Linked DNA regions of Saccharomyces cerevisiae S288C. Changing the gene in region 1 together with any one later gene gives a genetic interaction. Each region holds a gene or a part of one and is shown in the gene's direction. Other genes may lie near its edges. The genes, in order: TUB4, HTD2, RTF1 and MAD2.

Region 1 (3,720 bases):
TTAAAGGCGTCACAAAAATTATGTAAAGCCTCGCGACGATCATGTAGGAAAAAAAAAAAAAAGACAATACCAGCTAATAATTATCGATTAATAACGAAATACAAGAACAGTCGTTTAGTTTAGAGTATCATCAAGGGCTTTTGCACGAAATAAAAATATGAGAATATCAATATTACAGCTGGTGCCGGTTGTTGGCTACATCGGATTTGCACTGGGAGAATTATACAAACCCAAAAACTCCATTTCTTGTTCTCCAAATAACCCTTGTCCCGCAGAATGGCCGTGCTGCTCGCCGTATAATGAATGTGGCGCTGGACCGATATGTGTCGGTGGCTGCAACGTGAGGTCATCTTTCGACGAGGAAAGCTGTGCTCCTATACCTGCATTAGTCGCCAGTCAAAAACTTGAATTTGTTAGCACACCAAAGGTTCCTAAATTTATTGTGAACTATCAACCTAAGCCACCAATAAGAGAGGGAAATGGACCGAATAAGGCAAATACCAAGGTGGGTGTAGTAGAAGGGGAGCTAAATTCCAAGAGAATCATACACTACGCCAAATTCTTGGTCACTCCAGACAGTAAAGAGGCAGAGAAAATGTTGGAAGATTTCGATTTCACACATAGCGGCTACACATCAATTGAAGCGAGTAGCGGGAATATTGTTCTGGCTATGCCAAAAAAAACTACCGGAAGTTTGATCACATCGACCAGGTCGTTTCTATACGGCAAGGCAAGCGTGCGAATGAAAACGGCGAGGTCGAGGGGTGTGGTGACTGCATTTGACTTAACATCCGCAATTGGGGACGAGATTGATTTTGAGTGGCTGGGTGGTGATTTAATGACGGCCCAATCAAACTACTATTCTCAAGGGCATTTGGATTACACAAGAATGCAAAGATTTCCCGTAGGCGCTGACACTTGGGCCACTTACCACACTTATGAGATTGATTGGGACCCGGATAGGATAATATGGTATGTTGATGGTAAAATAGCTCGCACAGTCCTGAAGAAGGATACCTGGGACCCCATTAGTAAAGAATATAGGTACCCACAAACGCCGATGAGACTAGAAATCGCTGTTTGGCCAGGCGGCTCGGAAACCAACGGACCCGGTACAATAAACTGGGCAGGTGGCCTCATAGATTGGGAAAATTCACCCGATATTATCGAAAAGGGCCAATTTACGGCGCATGTTGAACAAATCACCGTAACGCCGTACCAAAATAAATTCACAGAACAAGTGCAGTTTTGTATAAAGGCAAAGAAAAAGGCACCAACCTTTTCCCAAAAAGATTTGTCAAGAGTAGTCGTTTCGTATAACAGGCAAGACAGACTGAATCATCATGATGAGGGGTCTCTCAAATGGGACTGCTTTGTTACTCCAAAGATAAATGACTGGTTGAGTTCTTGGAAACGGTCAAAATAGTCACAGCAATAATGTCTTACGAAGTTCTCTCTTCCGTAACGGATCCTCTAATTCCCTGCATGAAGGCACGCTCTAATATATATGTATACATTCTTTAGTTCAAACCTTTCAAGAAACACAAAATGCACCTATTTTCCGCATTGCAATTATTACTAATTTCCTAAAGCAAATATTTACTATTCTCCCATTATAACGTTCTCTCTTTGTTACCCTGACATTCAGAAAATATCACCGGGTAACAGAACGCGTTAATATTATCTTTTGGGAAATTTCATTAAATGTAATAAATAATAATCGTAACAGTAGCTGCGAAATGAACAAATGCGTAATATCGGTTAGTCACATGTATAAGAATTCAACATATAACTATCTATGGGTGGAGAAATTATTACTTTGCAAGCAGGTCAATGCGGGAACCACGTTGGTAAGTTTCTCTGGTCTCAATTGGCGAAAGAACACGCTATAGGCACCGATGGGCTATCTCAGCTTCCTGATTCCAGTACGGAAAGAGATGATGACACAAAGCCTTTCTTCCGCGAAAACAGTAGGAATAAGTTTACGCCAAGGGCTATTATGATGGATTCCGAGCCTAGTGTCATCGCCGACGTGGAGAACACATTTCGTGGGTTTTTCGACCCAAGAAATACCTGGGTAGCTTCTGATGGCGCTAGCGCTGGTAATTCTTGGGCCAATGGGTATGATATAGGAACTCGTAACCAGGATGATATTCTTAACAAGATCGACAAGGAGATTGATTCTACCGACAATTTCGAAGGTTTCCAGTTGCTGCACTCAGTAGCCGGAGGGACCGGTTCAGGGCTCGGATCCAACCTCTTAGAAGCGCTGTGTGATCGATATCCTAAAAAAATACTCACGACATATTCTGTGTTCCCTGCAAGATCTTCTGAGGTTGTTGTTCAATCTTATAACACTATTCTGGCTTTGAGAAGACTGATAGAAGATAGCGATGCAACGGTGGTGTTTGATAACGCTTCGTTGCTGAATATTTCCGGTAAAGTGTTTAGAAATCCGAACATCGATTTACAACACACGAATCAATTGATATCGACCATAATATCTTCAGTAACGAACAGTATACGGTTTCCGAGTTACATGTATTCATCCATGTCCAGTATTTACTCTACCTTGATTCCTTCTCCTGAACTTCATTTCCTAAGCCCTAGTTTCACTCCATTTACATCAGATTATATTCACGATGATATAGCGCATAAAGGCCATTCCAGTTATGACGTCATGTTAGATTTATTAGACCCTTCCAATTCTCTTGTCTCTACCGCGATGAACAATCCAACATATTTTAACGTTTATAATACAATCATTGGTAATGTAGAACCTCGTCAGATATCGCGTGCTATGACCAAATTACAACAACGCATCAAATTCCCCTCATGGTCCTCTTCTGCGATGCACGTTAACATTGGAAGAAGATCGCCATACTTGCCTTTACAACCAAATGAAAACGAAGTTAGCGGCATGATGTTAAGCAATATGTCTACCGTGGTGAACGTCTTTGAGAATGCGTGCAATACTTTTGACAAAGTATTTGCCAAGGGCGCATTTTTAAATAATTATAATGTAGGCGACTTGTTCCAATCAATGCAGAACGTTCAAGATGAATTCGCCGAGTCAAGAGAAGTAGTACAAAGCCTGATGGAGGATTATGTAGCTGCAGAACAAGATTCGTACTTGGACGATGTACTTGTTGATGATGAAAATATGGTTGGCGAGTTGGAAGAGGACCTGGATGCCGACGGTGATCATAAATTAGTATAATGATGCCTTCCTTGTTCAGGAATTTTACCACCGCCCAATAGTTTTATTATAGTACTCTCAATATATCTATACCAACAACCGCTTCAAATGTATTATCTCCCTTTATAAATTCTGCACTGTATTGTAATATGTATAAAGCTCTGTACCACTTTTTCATCATTGCATACATCGATAGCGCCTCTTCAACTTTAGAATTTCCTAAAGGGTAGAAAAACCAGATGATTCAACTCAGCGTAATGGAACGCTCTGTTTGAAATAAAAAACATCTGTATCGCTGCACGGATTAGTTCGATAATTCAACGACAGTTATACTAATCTTGGTGATGGAATGAGTACTTTAGCGGAAGTAAGTTTTTGAATTATGCCCCCACTTTTTTTTTGTTCATGGTGACTAACATGAATTAGGTTTATACTATTATTGAGGACGCCGAACAGGAATGTCGAAAAGGAGATTTTACAAATGCAAAAGCGAAGTATCAAGAAGCCATTGAAGTTTTAGG
Region 2 (7,129 bases), on another chromosome or scaffold:
AAAAGATCCAAAGATCCCATTCTCTGGTTTTGATTCAAATCACCATGTAGCGCAGTGGCACTAAACTCGAGCAAATTACATAATCCTGACAACCTTTCCGCGTTGGCCTTGGTTCTTGTAAAAATGATCATCGTCTTTCCAATAAATTCATTTAATAAATAAATTAGGTATGTGTTCTTAAGACCACCTGGAACGACCATCAGTGTTTGCACTAATGTATCTACGGTTTGGTATTTGTTTGACACGGCACATTTCACAGGATTTGTCAAACTTGCTCTTTGTAATTTATCAATTTTGGAAGTCATAGTAGCGGAAAAAAGATAAGTGGTTCTTTCTTGGGTTGGGATGATCTTTAAAATTCTATCAAGAACAGGTCCAAATTCCATGTCTAATAATCTATCAGCTTCATCCATAACCAAGAATTTCAGTTTCCTCAGTGAAAACCCTTTGGTATTCTCTAAATGGTCCATTAATCTACCAGGTGTAGCAATGATAATATGTGGCTTTCTCATCAGGTCTCTGGCCTGGTCCATCATATTCATACCACCCACAATACATGTCGATCTCACGCCCATTAAGGATCCTAATGAGTCAAATGTTTCTTTGATCTGTTGTGCTAATTCTCTTGTTGGAGCTAGAATGCACGCATAGTATGGTTCCTGATCATGCCATAACCGATTCAAAATGGGAATAGCAAATGCAGCAGTTTTACCAGAACCTGTTTGCGCAAGTCCAATTATATCGTGACCTTCTAACGCGGGAGGAATTGCCTTAGATTGAATGGGAGTGGGTTTGGAATAATTTAAGTTCTTACAAGCTTGAATTAATTCGGGGACCAGATTCAGTTCGCTAAAGGATTCAAAAGATTCATCTTCATTAGTATTTTCATTTTGGGTTGATACTGTGGATTTGCTTTTTGATTTCAAAACCTTTTTCTTTTCAGCAGTAGCATCTTCTTCAGAATCGGACTCTGAACCACCTTCCTTTTCTGCTTCTATAAGCTTCTTTTGATTTTCCAAAGCTTTTGCTCTAATCTTTTCTGCTAAAGAAGTTAATTCATCGTTAGCCTTCTTTTCCTTTCTCTTAACAATTTTGGACATTTTTATAGCTGATTCAGTGAAGTACTTAACAGAATCTTGGTATATATTGCTTCTAAGATATGTCACAATTCTGTGTATACCATGTACAATTGCTAAATGCTCATTGATTAATTTTAAATTTTTCATTTTTATCGCCTTAGACGAAATTGAAATTTTTCACTGAAAAAAAAAAAAAAAAAAAAGTAGACGAAGAAGCTCATCTCATCGCGATATTAGTTCGATATCTGGGTTTGAGTGAGTAGTATGTTTAATAATAAAAGAGTATAATCCAGATATAGCAGACAATAAAATTTCAAGATGGCCAAGAGAAGACAAAAGAAAAGAACACATGCACAGCTTACACCTGAGCAGGAACAAGGTATACCTAAGTCAATGGTAATCAGAGTGGGTCAAACTTCTTTGGCCAACCATTCTCTGAACCAATTAGTAAAGGACTTCCGCCAAATCATGCAACCACATACGGCTATAAAATTGAAAGAGCGCAAGTCCAATAAACTGAAGGATTTCGTTGTTATGTGTGGCCCATTAGGTGTTACGCATCTTTTTATGTTCACTCAATCTGAAAAAACAGGAAATGTCTCCCTAAAGATAGCTAGAACTCCGCAAGGTCCTACTGTTACTTTTCAAGTATTGGACTATTCTCTGGGTAGAGATATCAAAAAATTTTTGAAGAGACCTAAATCGTTGAATAATGATGATGTATTAAATCCTCCATTGCTAGTGCTAAACGGGTTTTCCACATCCAAAAGATCTGGTGAAGACGACCAGGATGTAAACGTGGAGAAGGTCATTGTTTCTATGTTTCAGAATATTTTCCCACCTCTGAATCCTGCGAGAACTTCTTTGAATTCTATCAAACGTGTATTTATGATCAATAAAGACAGGGAAACAGGGGAAATTTCTATGCGCCACTATTTTATTGACATTCGAGAAGTAGAGATCTCTAGAAACCTAAAAAGGCTTTATAAAGCCAAAAATAATCTAAGTAAAACAGTGCCGAATTTGCATCGAAAAGAAGATATTTCTTCTTTGATATTAGATCACGACTTAGGCGCCTATACATCAGAATCTGAAATTGAAGATGACGCTATCGTGAGAGTAGTTGATAATCAGGACGTGAAGGCAAAGCATTCTCAAAGTTTGAAGTCCCAAAGAACACCGGTCGAAAAGAAGGATAATAAAGAGCGTGAAAAAGAAACAGAAGAAGAAGATGTGGAAATGGAGGAACCTAAGCCTTCAGAAAACTTGCAACCAACCCCACGTAAGAAAGCTATCAAACTAACTGAATTAGGACCAAGATTAACTTTAAAACTGGTCAAGATAGAAGAAGGTATTTGTTCAGGTAAAGTGTTACATCATGAATTTGTTCAAAAATCAAGCGAAGAAATCAAAGCTTTAGAAAAGAGACACGCTGCAAAAATGAGGCTGAAGGAACAAAGAAAGAAGGAACAAGAAGAAAACATTGCTAAAAAGAAGGCTGTTAAAGACGCTAAAAAGCAACGTAAATTGGAAAGAAGAAAAGCTAGAGCAGCAGAAGGAGGTGAAGGTCAAGGAAAAGATGATGCGATGAGCGATGATGAGTCTTCATCAAGTGACAGCGAACATTATGGTAGCGTACCAGAGGATCTAGATAGTGACTTATTTAGTGAGGTCGAATAAATTGTTCTCCGGTACCAAGAAAATTTTAGTTAAGCCTGGCTATCCACCAACGCACGTATACTTCTTCACTTTAGATAAATTGCATACTTGATACATATAAACTCTTTGTCTTTTAAATCATAGCCCAAAGGAAACGTAGATCTCAGAAGGCATGTGAAAAAAAATTCGATCTTACCTTTTTTACGCCATTTTAAGCTACTGTTTCGATACATGAGCGTGGCTGGTACATTGAAGGTGGGCAATCGTCCACTTATCTAAAGACAGCTTATCAGCATGAAATCCAAAACGTGGATTTTCAGGGATGTCTTATCTAGTCACCGAACCAAAGCGTTTGATAGTTTACTTTGTAGGAGACTCCCTGTATCAAAGGCAACGAAGCATCTTCAACTGGGAGAACATTTCCTGTTCTTCCCACCATCATTCGAAAAATTGGATAGAGATGGTTATTTTAACTATCAAAATCCTGCAAGTTTGCTAGGAAACCCTGATTTACGCTACCGTAGAAGGATTTGGGGACAAGGAGAGCTTGTTCAGTATTTACCAGTCACCTTAGACCAGGAGTATACATGCCACGAATCAATCAAATACGTAAAAAAAATACGAGATGAACATGTTGTCTGTATTGAAAGAACCCTTTTACAAGAAAGGCCCGAAAATGTGTCGAGTCCAATGGACATTTGCTTATTCGAGAGAAGGGTATTAATGTACACCAATTCACCCGCAAACAAGACTGCAGTCAAGATGCCCGTAGGAGAGGAGAACTATAAGATCTTAAAAAATTTTACTGTTACTGATATGGATATTGTAGCTTATGGTCAGATGTCTTTGAATCCGCACCGAATTCATTGGGACAAAGAGTACAGTCGCTATGTTGAAGGCTACGACGATATTATCATGCAAGGACCCTTCTCGGTCCAATTACTACAGAAATGCATCCAACCTTTTCTCGAACAACCAATCAGACAGTTGCGATACCGCAATTTGAATTATATATATCCAAACACTACTTTGAGCATATGTCAGTCTTTAAGCTCTTCGAGCGGAATGTACACATTTCAAATTAGGGACCTCCAGAAAGCCAACTTAGTCTACATGAAAGCTGATGTTTTCTGTTGACTACCAGTAATTGTCTCTCTGCAGATAATCACTACCTGTGTGTTTCTTGTCTCTTGAAATAATACTAGTAGCTGCTGAACAGTGGAAGGTCACGAACGAGATTACCATAATATCTCGCCATCACCAGGTTGACGGTAAACGCATTACGGGAAGAACTGAAAAAAAGGTGGGAAAAAAAAATAAAAAGTAAAGTGAAAAATTAAATGTAATGTATATTTCCATTTTGACGCAAAGTACTTCCCTCTATCAGTTTTGTATCTAACTGCAGAGTAAAGTCGTGTTTTGCTTAGTTAACTTATATACAAGTCAAAGCAAAAAAGATGTCCGATATCAACGAAAAACTCCCAGAGTTACTACAAGACGCTGTCTTGAAAGCATCTGTTCCTATTCCAGATGACTTCGTTAAGGTTCAAGGTATTGATTACTCAAAGCCTGAAGCCACTAATATGAGAGCAACTGATTTAATTGAAGCTATGAAGACCATGGGTTTCCAAGCTAGTTCTGTTGGTACTGCCTGTGAGATTATTGATAGTATGAGATCATGGAGAGGTAAGCATATTGACGAATTGGATGACCATGAAAAGAAAGGTTGCTTCGATGAGGAAGGGTACCAAAAGACTACTATCTTCATGGGTTATACTTCTAACTTGATCAGTTCCGGTGTACGTGAAACTTTACGTTATTTGGTGCAACACAAAATGGTTGATGCTGTCGTTACTTCTGCTGGTGGTGTGGAAGAAGATTTGATCAAATGTCTTGCTCCAACTTACTTGGGTGAATTTGCTTTGAAAGGTAAATCTTTGCGTGACCAAGGTATGAATCGTATTGGTAACTTGCTTGTTCCAAATGATAACTACTGTAAGTTTGAAGAATGGATTGTCCCAATTTTGGATAAGATGTTGGAAGAACAAGATGAATACGTAAAGAAACATGGCGCTGACTGTTTAGAGGCTAACCAAGACGTGGATTCACCAATCTGGACCCCATCTAAGATGATAGATCGTTTTGGTAAGGAAATCAACGACGAATCCTCCGTATTGTACTGGGCCCACAAGAATAAAATTCCAATCTTTTGTCCATCTTTGACTGATGGTTCAATCGGTGACATGTTGTTTTTCCATACTTTTAAAGCATCTCCAAAACAACTAAGAGTTGACATTGTAGGAGATATCCGCAAAATCAATTCAATGTCCATGGCCGCTTACAGAGCCGGTATGATCATCTTGGGTGGTGGTTTGATCAAGCACCACATTGCCAATGCTTGTTTGATGAGAAATGGTGCTGATTATGCCGTTTACATTAACACTGGTCAAGAATACGATGGTTCTGATGCAGGTGCAAGACCTGACGAAGCTGTGTCTTGGGGTAAGATCAAGGCTGAAGCCAAATCCGTCAAACTTTTTGCTGATGTCACCACTGTTCTTCCATTGATTGTTGCTGCTACCTTTGCCAGTGGTAAACCAATCAAAAAAGTTAAGAATTGATGAGAGAATTTTGAGATGAAAAAAAAAAAAATGAATCTGTACTATTTCTTTTTTTAGTGCAAAAGTTTTGTTTTAATATAGAGATAAATAAAAAAATGAACATATTACTATAATATCAACAAAATATGATGTAATGTCTGCAATAAAGATGAGTCAATTGCATTTCTATACGTACTAATCGTGTGTACATAGCCATGACATTATGTAAGTTTATACACATAAATTGCGTTGGAGTCTGCTGTGTAGTTTATAAATGTGTAAACAGCGGCTTTTGTATTCCTATTAGTTGCCGTTACCTCTCATTTTTTCGGCGGTAAGAATGTCACTGCCTATGGATTCCATTACATTTTTCTCAATCAGTTCACCTACGTTTGAATAAACCATACTAGCTTCGTAAGCACTTACTATACGTTGTTGAGTAATGCCTATTTCACAGAACGCTAACGCTTTGATCACGTTCGCATACCGGCAAATTGCTTGTCGTATGTTGTTCGATATGGAAGGATCGTTTTCATCCGAATATATTTGCCATGAAGACTCTTCTTCCAGTCTTGTTATGGAGGGATTTAATGATACCGCACCAGTGGGTCCAGTTGATTTAATTGAGGAACTGTTATTTGCAGACGGCGTATCCCTCGCTAAGTCCATCTGAGATGTTTTCCTTAACCATATGTAACCATTGACTCCGAGAACTACGGTTATGTTGCCGGGCAAATTATGAGTATGGTTCTTGGCTCTCACTATTAATGAACTCGGGACTTGGCAAAACATCCCGTTTCTTAACTTCCCGTACTTTAGAGACCTTGTATGTAAAGAGGCACTACCATCTTGAAATAATGATTGAACTTCTGCATTCAGGAGGTCACCTTCCTTAAGGAAGCTTCTCATTTGTAGTTCATCACTTTCAGATTTTCTTCTTAGAATACCACCCGGTAAATTCACAGAGCCCAACATAAGTACTGCATGTTGCTTACCGCCAATGTCTACTTTCCATCTCTTGTTACCCACTTCAGCAATTCTCCCTACGACGTGATCACCAGTTTCTGGGGCATAACGACCTTTCAATGGAATTACCGATAGCAGCCTATTGACACGGGATACAGTACCAGCAACAGAGGAATACGTCATATTATCAAGAAAATACGTACCGTGACCTCTCATCCAGATAGGGTCATCAGTGACCAGCTCACCTGGCGTCACAATTTGAGAATCAGACTCACTTTTAGAAGCTGAGTTAACATCGTGCATGTAGATATCTTCTTCATCATTTTCATCATCTGATATCCCTGTGTTGTTATAGGACAGGTTAGATGAATTTTGGAAGGCACCGTTCCGCTTGGTAATTGTGATAACTTCGGACATATCTGTTTACGCTTGTGTGACTACGCAAAGATTTAGAATGCAAGCAGTACTTAAGGAAGGATATTTTTCTTCTACTTTTGTTTTAGTTTTCTTAATTTTTTTTTTTTTTTCACCTCATCGCTCAATCCATACTGAGGAAGAAAAAGAAAAAAAAAGATTCACTGAGGATATTTGAACAAACCAGTTTAAACCATAAGTAAAGGTAAGGATATTTTTCATTGCATGAAAATCGCACTGCCAGTATTCCAAAAATTTAATAGATTGATCAGTTCGTGCAAGATGTCAGGAGTGTTCCCATACAACCCACCCGTGAATCGCCAAATGCGAGAATTGGATAGGTCATTTTTCATCACCAAGATACCAATGTGTGCAGTCAAGTTCCCCGAACCCAAAAATATCAGTGTGTTT
Region 3 (7,298 bases), on another chromosome or scaffold:
CTTACATATTGGACATGCCAAAGCTGCCTTGTTGAACCAATATTTTGCTCAAGCTTACAAGGGTAAGTTGATTATTAGATTCGATGACACCAACCCATCGAAGGAAAAGGAAGAATTCCAAGACTCTATTTTGGAAGATTTGGATTTATTAGGAATCAAGGGTGATAGAATAACCTACTCATCTGACTACTTCCAAGAAATGTACGACTACTGTGTTCAAATGATCAAGGATGGTAAAGCTTACTGTGACGACACTCCAACTGAAAAGATGAGAGAAGAACGTATGGATGGTGTTGCTTCTGCCAGAAGAGATCGTTCTGTTGAAGAGAACTTAAGAATTTTTACCGAAGAAATGAAAAACGGTACTGAAGAAGGTTTGAAGAACTGTGTTCGTGCCAAGATCGATTACAAGGCTTTGAACAAGACTCTAAGAGATCCTGTCATTTACAGATGTAATCTAACCCCTCACCACAGAACCGGATCAACTTGGAAGATCTACCCAACTTATGATTTCTGTGTCCCAATTGTTGATGCTATTGAAGGTGTTACCCACGCTTTACGTACCATTGAATATAGAGACCGTAACGCTCAATATGATTGGATGTTACAAGCTTTGCGTTTGAGAAAAGTCCATATTTGGGATTTCGCTCGTATCAATTTCGTTAGAACCTTGTTGTCTAAGAGAAAGTTACAATGGATGGTTGACAAGGACTTGGTCGGAAATTGGGACGATCCAAGGTTCCCAACTGTCAGGGGTGTGAGAAGAAGAGGTATGACTGTCGAAGGTTTGAGGAACTTCGTCTTATCCCAAGGTCCATCCAGAAATGTCATTAACTTGGAATGGAACTTGATCTGGGCTTTCAACAAGAAGGTCATTGATCCAATTGCTCCAAGACACACTGCTATCGTCAACCCAGTTAAAATCCACTTGGAAGGCTCCGAAGCTCCACAAGAACCAAAGATTGAAATGAAACCAAAACACAAGAAAAACCCAGCTGTGGGCGAAAAGAAAGTCATTTACTACAAAGACATTGTTGTCGACAAAGATGATGCTGACGTCATCAATGTTGATGAAGAAGTCACTTTAATGGACTGGGGTAATGTCATTATTACTAAAAAGAATGACGATGGTTCTATGGTTGCCAAATTGAATTTGGAAGGTGATTTCAAAAAGACCAAGCACAAGTTGACTTGGTTAGCTGATACTAAAGATGTCGTCCCTGTTGATTTAGTTGACTTCGACCATTTGATTACCAAGGACAGATTGGAAGAAGACGAAAGTTTCGAAGATTTCTTGACTCCTCAAACAGAATTCCACACGGATGCCATTGCTGACTTGAATGTTAAGGATATGAAGATTGGTGATATCATCCAATTCGAAAGAAAGGGCTACTACAGATTGGATGCTTTACCCAAGGATGGTAAGCCATATGTCTTTTTTACCATCCCAGATGGTAAATCTGTCAACAAGTATGGTGCAAAGAAATAAGCATCACATAAGTAATGTATATACATATTTATGTTATTTCTCAACCAGTACCTTTTGAACAATATCTTTTATAAGTGAATGGTTTGCTTTCTGAACCAGTCCTGTGTTCGCTGCCTTGAATCATGTAAGGATAGCAGCTTATGACATGTATGTCTACCTATAGAACTTTGACTGTAAAAGTTTATCATCCATTACCCGGTTTTGTAATTTTGACAATTTATATTTTATTGAAATTGGTTCAAATAGTGACTACGAGCTGGAAGGAAAATATTCAAAGTTACAAAAGGTACTTGAAGGATACCAAAGTTTGTAATTGTATTGCACTAATTTGTTGAGAGCACTATAGAAATGTCTGATTTAGATGAGGATTTATTAGCCTTGGCTGGTGCCGATGAATCCGAAGAAGAAGATCAAGTTTTGACAACTACATCTGCCAAAAGGGCAAAAAACAACGACCAATCTCTTTCCAAGAAAAGGAGAATTGAAGTCGGCAGTGTAGAGGATGATGATGAGGAGGACGATTATAACCCTTACTCTGTAGGAAATGCAGACTACGGTTCCGAAGAAGAAGAAGAAGCTAATCCTTTTCCCTTGGAAGGAAAGTACAAGGATGAGAGCGACAGAGAGCACCTGGAATCCTTACCTGAAATGGAACGTGAGACTCTATTATTTGAAAGATCTCAAATCATGCAGAAGTACCAGGAGAGGAAACTTTTTAGAGCACGTGGAAGAGATATGAAGGAACAACAACAGAGAGCCAAGAACGACGAAGATTCCAGAAAGACCAGAGCTTCCACTAGATCAACCCATGCTACTGGGCATTCTGATATCAAGGCTTCAAAACTTTCGCAATTAAAGAAACAAAGAGCGAGGAAAAACCGTCACTACAGCGATAATGAAGACGAAGACGATGAGGAAGATTACAGGGAAGAAGACTACAAGGACGATGAAGGGAGTGAATACGGGGATGATGAAGAATACAATCCTTTTGATAGAAGGGATACATACGACAAAAGAGAAGAAGTGGAGTGGGCTGAAGAGGAGGACGAGCAAGACAGAGAGCCTGAGATTTCTGATTTCAACAAACTAAGGATCGGTCGTTCATTTGTCGCAAAATTTTGTTTTTATCCCGGGTTTGAAGATGCAGTCAAAGGTTGTTATGGGAGAGTCAATGTTGGCACAGATAAACGTACCGGCAAAACTTCTTACCGTATGGTGAGAATTGAGAGAGTTTTCTTGCAAAAACCTTACAATATGGGTAAGTTCTATACTAACCAGTATTTCGGTGTTACCCAAGGTAAAGACAGAAAGGTTTTTCAAATGAATTATTTTAGTGATGGTTTGTTTGCCGAAGACGAATACCAAAGGTATCTCAGGGCATTGGATAATTCGCAAATGATTAAACCTTCTTTACATTCTTTGAGTAACAAAACGAAAGAGGTTATGGATTTTGTCAATACACCATTGACTGATAAAACTACAGATGAGGTTGTTCGCCATAGGATGCAATTCAATAAAAAACTATCTGGTACGAATGCAGTCTTGGAGAAAACTGTATTGAGAGAAAAATTGCAATATGCCAAGGAGACTAATAATGAAAAGGACATTGCAAAATACTCTGCTCAGTTAAGAAACTTTGAGAAACGAATGTCTGTATACGAGAAGCATCATGAAAATGACCAATCTGACATTAAAAAACTAGGCGAGTTGACCTCTAAGAATAGAAAATTGAATATGAGTAACATCAGAAATGCAGAGCATGTGAAAAAAGAAGACAGTAATAACTTTGATTCAAAGAGCGATCCTTTCAGCAGGCTAAAAACCAGGACCAAAGTTTACTATCAGGAGATACAAAAGGAAGAAAACGCAAAAGCTAAAGAAATTGCACAACAAGAGAAGCTACAAGAAGATAAAGATGCTAAAGATAAGCGTGAGAAAGAGCTACTTGTGGCACAATTCAGGCGCCTTGGTGGGTTGGAGCGCATGGTTGGTGAATTGGATATCAAATTTGACCTTAAGTTTTAGTAGGCAGGACAATTTCAGTGTTTGTAAAAATATATTTATATTTATATATTTAAATATACTAAATAAAAATAATACTATCATCGTTGTGATGCAAAAAAAAAAAAAAATGAACAGAAAATAATAGTGATGTGAATGGTTTCGTGCCAAGGAACAAGGCCATGCATAGTAAACCTTCTCACTATGCCAAGTGAGGATAAATTGGGTGAAGAGATATCAACGAGGGTGATTAATGAGTATTCAAAACTAAAATCTGCCTGCAGACCAATAATTAGGCCTTCAGGTATCAGAGAGTGGACAATATTGGCAGGTGTTGCAGCTATTAACAGAGATGGCGGTGCGAATAAGATAGAGATACTTTCCATAGCTACTGGTGTGAAGGCTTTGCCAGATTCAGAACTACAAAGAAGTGAGGGGAAGATTCTGCATGACTGTCATGCAGAAATACTGGCATTACGAGGTGCTAATACAGTTTTATTAAACCGTATTCAAAACTATAATCCATCAAGTGGTGATAAATTCATTCAACATAATGACGAGATACCTGCCAGATTCAATTTAAAGGAAAACTGGGAGTTGGCATTGTACATCTCGAGATTGCCCTGTGGTGATGCCAGCATGAGTTTCCTGAATGATAATTGCAAAAATGATGATTTCATCAAAATAGAAGATAGCGACGAATTTCAATACGTCGACCGTAGTGTGAAAACAATATTGAGGGGACGCTTGAATTTCAATAGAAGAAATGTCGTTAGGACTAAACCAGGAAGATATGATTCCAATATCACTTTATCTAAATCCTGTTCTGATAAATTATTAATGAAACAACGGTCGTCGGTACTGAATTGTTTAAATTATGAACTCTTTGAAAAACCTGTATTTTTAAAGTACATTGTGATTCCTAATTTAGAAGATGAAACGAAACATCATCTAGAGCAATCATTTCACACTCGTCTACCGAATCTAGATAATGAAATTAAATTCCTGAATTGCCTCAAACCATTTTATGATGATAAATTGGATGAGGAGGATGTTCCTGGTCTAATGTGTAGTGTCAAGCTCTTTATGGATGACTTTAGCACCGAAGAAGCGATTCTTAATGGCGTGAGGAATGGATTTTATACCAAATCATCGAAACCACTGAGGAAACACTGTCAATCGCAAGTAAGCCGGTTTGCACAATGGGAACTATTCAAAAAAATAAGACCAGAGTATGAAGGAATAAGCTATTTGGAATTTAAATCTCGTCAAAAAAAGAGAAGCCAGTTAATTATCGCAATAAAGAACATTTTATCTCCCGATGGTTGGATACCCACCAGAACGGATGATGTGAAGTAATATATATATATATTGTTGAATATGCGTATATGCACACTTTTTTGTTAGTGCACCTTAAAGAAATATATACACAGTAGAAATATCTATATATCCAGAGTTCATCTATCTTTCCCTCTCTGTGGTATTATCATCACATATTTTATCATTTTTTATCATCTTCTTCGTCATCGTCAGATGGACCATCATCTATCATTTCCCCATCCTCATTGTTATCACCTGATCCATTGGTACTATCAATCGCTAACTCGGCACCCTGCAAAAGGTCAATTAATTCATCCAGTTCATCACCATGAACCAAATCAACTGGCTTTTGATTGTTATAGTTTCTCACCCTAGGATCCGCACCCACTTCAATTAAGTTTCTAGCAATAAAAGTTCCATGCTCAGGCTCCTCTTGACTGTATCTGACAGTAACATGTAACGGAGTGTCGCCATCAACGTCGTTTTGTGGGTCTATTTCGATTTCACCGTCTTGATCGAGAATCTTGTCGAGAACTTCCCAGGATCCATACTTACAACATAAATGTAACGCTGTATTCCCCAGTGGTTCTTTGGATTCGTTAATTAGCTTTGCAATCTTCTCAGGATCATTATCTAAGCTATCAAATACGGTCTCCAAAAGATCCAGATTGTTTCTTCTAGCTGCATCCAGCAATTGTTCACTTAAAGAAGCACCTTCAGTATTCATGATCAAAAAAAGAAACTAATTTATTTTGTGAAAAACTTCGACTTCTTTCACTTATGACTTTTTTCACTGGGATTCAGAAACTACCTCACAGGACCCCTATATAATGAATTTATTGTCAACCTTTCTATCAACGCGTTATACCTTGGGTATACTAGGAAAAAAAAAAAAAGATACATATGGATGTATATGACCTGCATACACGATCCGAAAATCTTGAACGTAATTGTAACACTATCAACACATTAAAATGGATATTAATGAATTGATAATAGGTGCTCAATCAGCTGATAAACACACTAGAGAAGTTGCGGAAACGCAATTGTTACAGTGGTGTGATTCCGATGCATCTCAAGTGTTTAAAGCGCTGGCAAACGTTGCCTTACAGCACGAAGCTTCTCTAGAATCGAGACAGTTTGCTTTATTGTCGTTAAGAAAATTGATCACCATGTATTGGAGTCCAGGATTTGAATCATACCGTTCTACATCGAACGTCGAAATAGATGTTAAAGATTTTATCCGAGAAGTGCTACTGAAATTATGCTTAAATGACAATGAAAATACCAAAATAAAAAATGGTGCATCTTACTGTATTGTTCAGATATCTGCGGTTGATTTTCCTGATCAATGGCCGCAGCTTTTAACAGTTATTTATGATGCTATCTCTCATCAGCATTCATTAAATGCGATGTCTTTATTGAATGAAATTTACGATGATGTCGTATCTGAAGAAATGTTCTTTGAAGGCGGAATTGGCTTGGCGACAATGGAGATCGTTTTCAAAGTACTCAATACAGAAACTTCTACTTTGATAGCCAAAATTGCTGCTTTGAAGCTACTTAAAGCATGTCTTCTACAAATGAGCTCCCATAATGAGTATGATGAGGCGTCACGAAAAAGTTTTGTCTCCCAATGTTTAGCTACTTCTTTACAGATATTGGGACAATTGTTGACTTTGAATTTTGGAAACGTAGATGTTATTTCTCAGTTGAAATTTAAATCCATTATATACGAGAATTTGGTTTTTATTAAAAATGATTTCTCTAGAAAGCATTTCTCAAGTGAATTACAAAAACAGTTCAAAATAATGGCAATCCAAGATCTGGAAAACGTTACCCATATAAATGCAAATGTCGAAACTACTGAAAGTGAACCCCTTTTAGAAACAGTTCATGATTGTTCTATTTATATTGTAGAATTTTTGACTAGTGTTTGCACTTTGCAATTTAGTGTTGAAGAGATGAACAAAATTATAACATCTTTAACCATTCTTTGTCAGCTAAGTTCTGAGACAAGAGAGATATGGACAAGCGATTTCAATACATTTGTATCGAAGGAAACAGGCCTAGCAGCATCATATAATGTTAGAGATCAAGCCAATGAATTTTTTACTTCATTACCCAATCCTCAACTTTCCCTAATTTTCAAAGTTGTTTCCAACGATATAGAACACAGCACGTGTAATTATTCAACTTTAGAATCTTTACTATATCTCTTACAGTGTATTTTGCTTAATGATGATGAGATAACTGGTGAAAATATCGATCAATCTTTGCAAATTTTAATAAAAACGTTAGAAAATATCTTAGTATCACAAGAAATACCAGAATTAATATTGGCGCGTGCAATTTTGACTATTCCCAGAGTACTAGACAAATTTATAGATGCATTACCTGATATCAAACCCTTGACATCTGCATTCTTGGCAAAAAGTCTTAATTTGGCGCTAAAATCTGATAAAGAGCTCATTAAATCCGCAACATT
Region 4 (7,253 bases), on another chromosome or scaffold:
ATTAAAAGGTTTAAGAGAATCATCCTTTATAAAACTTACTGAGATCCAAGCCGATTCTATTCCCGTGTCCCTGCAAGGTCATGATGTATTGGCGGCCGCAAAGACAGGTTCCGGTAAGACATTAGCATTTTTAGTTCCAGTAATTGAAAAGCTATACCGCGAAAAATGGACCGAATTCGATGGGTTAGGTGCCCTTATCATATCTCCAACAAGAGAGTTGGCTATGCAAATATATGAGGTTTTGACGAAAATAGGTAGTCACACTTCATTTTCAGCTGGGTTAGTTATCGGTGGTAAAGATGTTAAATTCGAACTAGAAAGGATATCAAGGATTAACATTCTTATCGGTACACCTGGTCGTATTTTACAACATTTAGATCAAGCCGTAGGTCTAAATACTTCCAATTTGCAGATGCTTGTTCTTGACGAAGCTGATAGATGTTTAGACATGGGGTTTAAAAAAACTCTGGATGCCATCGTAAGCACATTGTCACCATCTAGACAAACACTTTTATTTTCAGCGACTCAATCACAATCTGTTGCAGACTTGGCTAGGCTTTCCTTGACAGATTATAAAACCGTTGGTACACATGATGTGATGGATGGGTCGGTTAACAAAGAAGCATCTACTCCAGAAACTTTGCAACAATTCTACATTGAAGTTCCTTTGGCAGATAAATTGGATATCCTTTTCAGTTTTATAAAATCACATTTAAAATGCAAAATGATCGTTTTCTTATCAAGTTCCAAACAAGTGCATTTTGTCTATGAGACATTTAGGAAGATGCAGCCTGGTATTTCTTTAATGCATTTACACGGTAGACAGAAACAACGTGCTAGGACAGAAACTTTGGACAAATTCAATCGTGCTCAACAGGTGTGTCTTTTTGCTACCGATGTCGTTGCTAGAGGTATTGACTTTCCTGCAGTCGATTGGGTTGTTCAAGTGGATTGTCCAGAGGACGTTGATACATATATCCACAGAGTCGGTAGATGTGCTCGTTACGGTAAAAAGGGTAAATCTTTAATCATGTTGACTCCACAAGAGCAGGAAGCGTTCCTAAAAAGACTTAACGCTAGAAAGATCGAACCAGGCAAACTTAATATAAAACAGTCAAAAAAGAAATCCATTAAACCACAATTGCAGTCATTATTATTCAAGGATCCAGAACTAAAATATCTAGGACAAAAGGCTTTTATATCGTACGTGAGATCTATATATGTGCAAAAGGACAAACAAGTTTTCAAATTCGATGAGTTACCAACAGAAGAATTCGCTTATTCTCTTGGTTTACCAGGGGCCCCAAAAATCAAAATGAAGGGTATGAAGACCATTGAGCAGGCCAAAGAAAGAAAGAATGCTCCAAGACAGCTAGCTTTCTTATCAAAAGCAAATGAAGATGGTGAAGTAATTGAAGATAAGTCGAAACAACCAAGAACAAAATATGATAAAATGTTTGAACGTAAAAATCAAACCATCTTAAGTGAACACTATTTGAATATAACGAAGGCTCAAGCACAAGAAGACGAGGATGACGATTTCATTTCTGTCAAGCGTAAAGATCATGAAATAAATGAAGCTGAGTTACCAGCTCTAACTCTTCCAACTTCAAGGCGAGCACAGAAGAAAGCGCTTTCAAAGAAGGCATCTCTGGCCTCCAAGGGTAACGCTAGCAAATTAATATTTGATGATGAAGGCGAAGCCCATCCAGTTTATGAACTTGAAGATGAAGAAGAATTTCATAAGAGAGGTGATGCGGAGGTACAAAAGACAGAATTTTTAACTAAAGAATCTGCAGTAATGGCAGACATTGACAATATTGATAAGCAGGTGGCTAAAGAAAAAAAACAAGAGAAGAAGAGAAAAAGACTAGAAGCCATGAGAAGGGAAATGGAGGCTGCTATGGAAGAAGAAATTTCTGGAGATGAAGAAGAAGGGAAGACAGTAGCATATTTAGGAACAGGAAACTTGAGCGATGATATGAGCGACGGTGATATGCCTGACTCGGAAGGCCACTTGAAAAAGAAAGCTAGAACTGTTGACTATTCCCACGGCCACAATCCATCCAATTCAGTTGATGATGACATTATTGAAGTGGAAGAACCACAAACTTTGGAGGATTTGGAATCTTTGACAGCTAAATTAATCCAGGGTTAAACCCTCCTGCATAGTCTAACCTATAGTATTTAGAACTTGTATACATCTATTCTCTACACTAATATACTTATTTCTTTGTTCAAATCATCGGTAATATTACAATAAAAGAAAAATATGCATATACTTTCGTGCATTGAAGGTGTCAAATGAAATCCCGCTTATAGTGAACAGGCTTCCATCATATATACATATATATATATGTTTATATATGTATATCATCACTTATGCTGCTCCAGGAGATGTAGGTATCTATTCTTTCTTAACGGATCCGCATCTATTAATTGGACCAAATATTGTTCCGAGCTTCTTTCCGTTAGAGCTTCCTTTTCTTCCAGAATATCTTCGAGAACTAATAAAATTTTCAAGCACCAAATATTTTGCTTCCCGGAAAATTCAATTTCGTCATTATTTATTAACAGAATGTTTTCTCTCAAGTCTTTCAACATTTTAAGGTACTCTTGTTCGTCCAGAGTTTTACAAACAATGTCGTTTTTAATGAACCACTTGATATAAAACCATACGGATTGGTCTTCGGCGTCGGTAAACATAGCGTTGATGATATAAGATATTTCAGTCCGAATATACTCCTTTTGATTCCCAACCTCTCCTTTCTGAAACATTCTGCTTATGATCTGTACTCTTTGGTGCCATGCAGAATAATTTGAAATGTTATTGTTAATCTTTATTGTTGTGTATTCAAACTCCTCCTTGTCAAGACTTTTATTAGTGATACTCTCTATGTTACCAACAACTATTCTGCGGTAATGCCATCCGTGGTAATTTCTTGCATCTTGTTCCAATAACTTATTCACGACAGCAAGTTCAGTTTGCCACACTTTAGGGGAACTCGTAGGATAATGTTTCAAGACCCAAAGTCTGTGATTCCATATCCAATAGACTTTGGGGTAATCCTTCAATAGCATCATTACAAAAACTAACTCTTTATCCCAGAAAGGTATTTCCAACTCAGAAGCCAAACTCGCTATAATATCCCTTCTGTAATTCCAAATAGCATTAAATTCCGGATTTTTCTCAAGAAGTTCTGATGTTTTCTTCAGAGCTTCAATTGAGTAAATTTTTTCATCTCTCATATTCAAAACATTTTCAGTCAAGCTTCTATAATCATATATTTTCTTTTCGTCTTGAACTCTCTTTTGTCTCAGTAATTCCTTGGTCCACTGTTTCCTTTTAATGCCATGCTGTTTAATGTGGCAAATATAAAAAATTGCTTGGTAGTCAGTAAAAAAAAGAATTCATAATGTAACGAACATTTGAAGTGCACATACCATTGCTGACCTACTGCTTTATAGTATAAATTCAGTATACTAGGTATATGTGGCTCAAAAATGTGGTTTTTTTCTTTTTTGCCTTTAATTTTTTTCAAATGTTTACGTATGGTTTATGATTTAACATTTCAAGAATAGAAATCGCCCCGAAGAATGATTGATGTTAAATACTCGTACAAGAGTATTGAAAACCACTTCAAAGGGGCCCAATAGCACATTTAATGTCACAATCAATATCACTAAAGGGTTCAACAAGGACAGTTACAGAATTTTTCGAGTACAGCATTAATTCCATTTTGTACCAAAGAGGCGTATACCCAGCAGAAGATTTCGTAACGGTGAAAAAGTACGATCTTACGTTACTAAAGACACATGATGATGAACTGAAAGATTACATTCGGAAAATTCTTCTACAAGTTCACAGGTGGCTTCTTGGTGGAAAATGCAATCAATTAGTATTATGTATTGTAGACAAGGATGAGGGAGAGGTGGTGGAAAGATGGTCCTTCAATGTGCAACACATTTCTGGCAATAGCAACGGGCAGGATGATGTTGTAGATTTAAATACAACACAATCACAAATCAGAGCTTTAATCAGGCAAATCACCTCAAGCGTTACCTTTCTGCCCGAACTAACAAAAGAAGGTGGGTACACATTCACAGTACTTGCATATACAGACGCGGATGCTAAAGTTCCGTTAGAATGGGCCGACTCCAATAGTAAAGAGATACCTGATGGTGAAGTAGTTCAATTCAAAACATTCTCTACCAACGATCATAAAGTTGGTGCGCAGGTCAGCTATAAATATTAATAGAATTCAAGTCAAAAAAAAAAAAAAAGACGGAAGTCCAAAAAAATCTCGTTTTCGATGTTTAGAAAGAATATAGATTTATGAACTATATTATACTATACTACGTACTTCCTCTGTAAACCACTTCATGCGTTTTTTCAAGTGCCTCTGTTAAAGAACCTTGAGTGAGAAACGAAGTCTTTGACACTCAAACTTTGCTTTTTTTGTTCTTCTTTTTGTTGTTGTATTTGAGGGGTGGATACTATCCTCTTCATAACAGGTGGTGATATTTTCAGATCTTGCCTCACAAATTTTGACCAATTCGGATCTTGCATCCTTGCCAAGTTGTTTTCAAATTGACCCAAAAGTACCTTGTCCCACTTGAATATGAAAAGATCGCGATTACTGTCTGGCCTGCTGCCCTCGTCAGTGTCGTCTGTTTCTAAGTTGTAGGCACTCCATAGCTTTTTCCATAATGCCAGGTCCCATGGAATGCCCTTTAAAGCGAGGACAAAAGACCATACCGCTGAATCAGGGTTATTATTGGTCAATTTGGAGTAGGTCTCGTAATAGTCATCAGCGGAATCCAGAGGAGCCATTAGAAGTTTAATAAACTTCAGCAGCTGGTCTATATTATTGTCTGCATGTCTTTTCACCCTCTTATAAGAGGTATTTTCTCGCAAGTCAGAATCGTTACTTACACTTTCTGGTAAAGTGTGAAAAATCTCCTTCAGCAATTCTAAATCAAGGAGAAGCTGCTCGCCAATGTTGACAACAGTTCTGGTTTCAAATTTCCTTTTGCTGCCCGCCAGGGAAAAGGGTGGAACGGGCTGCAGAAGGCGGATGGTATTGCTTACAAAATTTGTAGTGATGATATCAATCACCTTATCCAAGAAATTCCACTTATAAACATCTCTATTGAATTGCGACAAAATAAATGCCAAAGTCGAAGGTTGCTCTTGCTGTTGTTTAATAGAGGCATCTGTTAATGCGGGCATTTTAAGTACGGATTTGAGGGTTACCATGTACCTGCTATAATCTTCTATCGCAGCATTTGACCAATCATTGTTGATAAACTCTCTCCATACAAAATTTAGATCTAAGGGTATGACACGGTTTAATAGAAAAGAAGTTCCTTTTGCTAGTAAATCGTCGTATATATTTTTCGTTTTCGTAAAACTGTTTGCCAGCTTTTCACGATTACCGCTGAATTCAGATAATTTATCCTCCAATTGATCTATAGTCGTGGCACAATAATCTGCAGTATTGATCAATAAAACGGTATACTTGGCAGCTTCTAGCTTATCCTGGACTTCAATATTGTCGGGCAGCAGTAAAGGAAGAAGAATTTTTTGTGAGTAAGTTTGAAGCCATCTACTGAAAAAATTTGCCAATGAAGTCAATATGCTATCATTGGCATTATTATCAATGAGCTCTAAGGTCTGAGTCAGTACGGAACGATATGTCCTGAAAAGGTCTGCACTCGAGGGTAACACGAGAGATTCTGTTTCATTAGATGGGTACTTCGGCTCACTCATATAAGAAAGAAATTTCTTTTCCATCATTTGGTTTTGGTGAGACACCCATAAAGTCAAATAAGGTTCGAAGCAGGAACTTAGTTTTGGTTCCTTAATTTTTTTTGAAAATCGTACGTCGATGTATTTTTCGAAATCTAGCGTCGATTGTAATGCTGTCATGAATAGATCAATGGAAGGGTTCTTGTCTTTGAATTCCCTTTTCAGAAGTGTCTGAAGGTCCTTGTGTGTAATGTGATAAAAAGTGGTGGTCAATCTGACTGCCATTTCCCAGTCTTTTAAGAAATAGTCTGCGAACTTTGAATTGAAGTTATTAAGAATTTTTTTGAAGTAAATGTATCTTCTCGATAAATTTTCTAGGGATCCGGCTTCATCGTCGACCCTAAATATCTCTTTCATTTCGAAGAGAAGTTTGTCCAAACACCAATCTATCATCTGGGCTCTCGTACTTGTATCGCAGTCGAGTAGCTCGCAGGCACCTTCGCGCAATTCCATAGTGAGTGCTGTATCATGCTCTGAGATATTGCCGCCGGAAAAGAGCGCATTGTAGTTTTGTTTAATTTTGGACAAAGTGTCTCCTTTCAGTCTTGAAATGGAGCTCAACAAATAGTTTATCTCGTCCAATGATTTGTAAGAGATGAATGTGTTTTCAGCAAGCGAACACATTATCTTATAAGGGGACACCATTTTTTTGAATGAGCCCTGTGAGAGTAATTCATTGCATTGTATGTAACTGTCTGTCAATATCTTTAAATTTTGGAAAAGAGTCAAAGAGTGGGTGAGGTTTTTCTTGGCAATGTCCAGGTACGAGATACCTTCTGTCAGATTCGATATCGTCAACTCGGTGGAGGCTGAGACATCTTGAGTTTCTTTGAAATCTTGGAAAACTTTCCTCAGAGAAGCCTCTATTTCAGCGGAATTTTTAGGGTGTTCCTTCAATTCATTCTCTTCTTTGAGAATATCCTCTTGCAATTGCTTTTTGTAGCTTCTGGTAATACTGATCAGTTCATCTATGTTGTTCAGGGATTCTTTTGAAAAAAGTATATTGGTAATATCTTCCAGCGGGTCATAATCTACCGTACCTTCCAGCATTGTCCTTCTGAGAAAACAAAAATGGAAGATGTTGTGAAAATGCAGTAAGTGACAATAAGCTAGCGACTTTTCAATGATCGCAGATTAAGTATATATACACTTTAGGTCTCCTTCTCTTCTTTACTAGCTACGAAAAAACAAAGAAAAAAAAAACAAAATAGAGGGAAAAAAGATATACGTATAAAAATATGCTCCAGGGGAGGTTCGAACTCTCGACCTTCAGATTATGAGACTGACGCTCTTCCTACTGAGCTACTGAAGCACTATTTCTTGTTCCAACCGAGGAATAATACTAGACCTGTAGAAAAGTACCGCTTATCTAATATCCAACTTTTTCTTCTGTTCCCTTTAGTGAATTCAAGATGAAGGAACATAACAGAACGGAAAACAA

The links.
Region 2: mutations in TUB4 (region 1) and HTD2 impair growth when combined (synthetic growth defect), as found in Saccharomyces cerevisiae (2 studies listed by BioGRID, with this or other methods).
Region 3: mutations in TUB4 (region 1) and RTF1 impair growth when combined (synthetic growth defect), as found in Saccharomyces cerevisiae (2 studies listed by BioGRID, with this or other methods).
Region 4: mutations in TUB4 (region 1) and MAD2 are lethal when combined (synthetic lethality), as found in Saccharomyces cerevisiae (5 studies listed by BioGRID, with this or other methods).

Annotation. Positions count from the first base shown.
Region 1 is NC_001144.5:564,360-568,079, reverse strand, and holds TUB4 (gamma-tubulin), read left to right. Parts: upstream 1-1,798; coding exon 1,799-3,220; downstream 3,221-3,720. Other genes in the region: CRR1 (putative glycosylase), read left to right, coding at 158-1,426; ATG38 (Atg38p), read left to right, coding at 3,549-3,566, 3,626-3,720. UniProt on the Saccharomyces cerevisiae protein: Tubulin is the major constituent of microtubules. The gamma chain is found at microtubule organizing centers (MTOC) such as the spindle poles or the centrosome, suggesting that it is involved in the minus-end nucleation of microtubule assembly.
Region 2 is NC_001140.6:227,938-235,066, forward strand, and holds HTD2 (hydroxyacyl-thioester dehydratase HTD2), read left to right. Parts: upstream 1-3,032; coding exon 3,033-3,875; downstream 3,876-7,129. Other genes in the region: RNA-dependent ATPase RRP3, read right to left, coding at 1-1,100; SSF1 (rRNA-binding ribosome biosynthesis protein), read left to right, coding at 1,398-2,759; DYS1 (deoxyhypusine synthase), read left to right, coding at 4,196-5,359; exosome non-catalytic core subunit RRP4, read right to left, coding at 5,642-6,721; TRM5 (tRNA (guanine) methyltransferase), read left to right, coding at 6,944-7,129. UniProt on the Saccharomyces cerevisiae protein: Mitochondrial 3-hydroxyacyl-thioester dehydratase involved in fatty acid biosynthesis. Required for respiratory growth and for normal mitochondrial morphology.
Region 3 is NC_001139.9:39,661-46,958, forward strand, and holds RTF1 (RNA polymerase-associated protein), read left to right. Parts: upstream 1-1,837; coding exon 1,838-3,514; downstream 3,515-7,298. Other genes in the region: glutamate--tRNA ligase GUS1, read left to right, coding at 1-1,489; TAD1 (tRNA-specific adenosine deaminase), read left to right, coding at 3,647-4,849; ankyrin repeat-containing protein ANK1, read right to left, coding at 4,992-5,537; karyopherin KAP114, read left to right, coding at 5,785-7,298.
Region 4 is NC_001142.9:383,992-391,244, forward strand, and holds MAD2 (spindle checkpoint protein MAD2), read left to right. Parts: upstream 1-3,665; coding exon 3,666-4,256; downstream 4,257-7,253. Other genes in the region: RNA-dependent ATPase HCA4, read left to right, coding at 1-2,158; Rab geranylgeranyltransferase BET4, read right to left, coding at 2,377-3,357, 3,445-3,447; VPS53 (Vps53p), read right to left, coding at 4,394-6,862. UniProt on the Saccharomyces cerevisiae protein: Central component of the spindle assembly checkpoint which is a feedback control that prevents cells with incompletely assembled spindles from leaving mitosis. Thought to be recruited to unattached kinetochores by MAD1.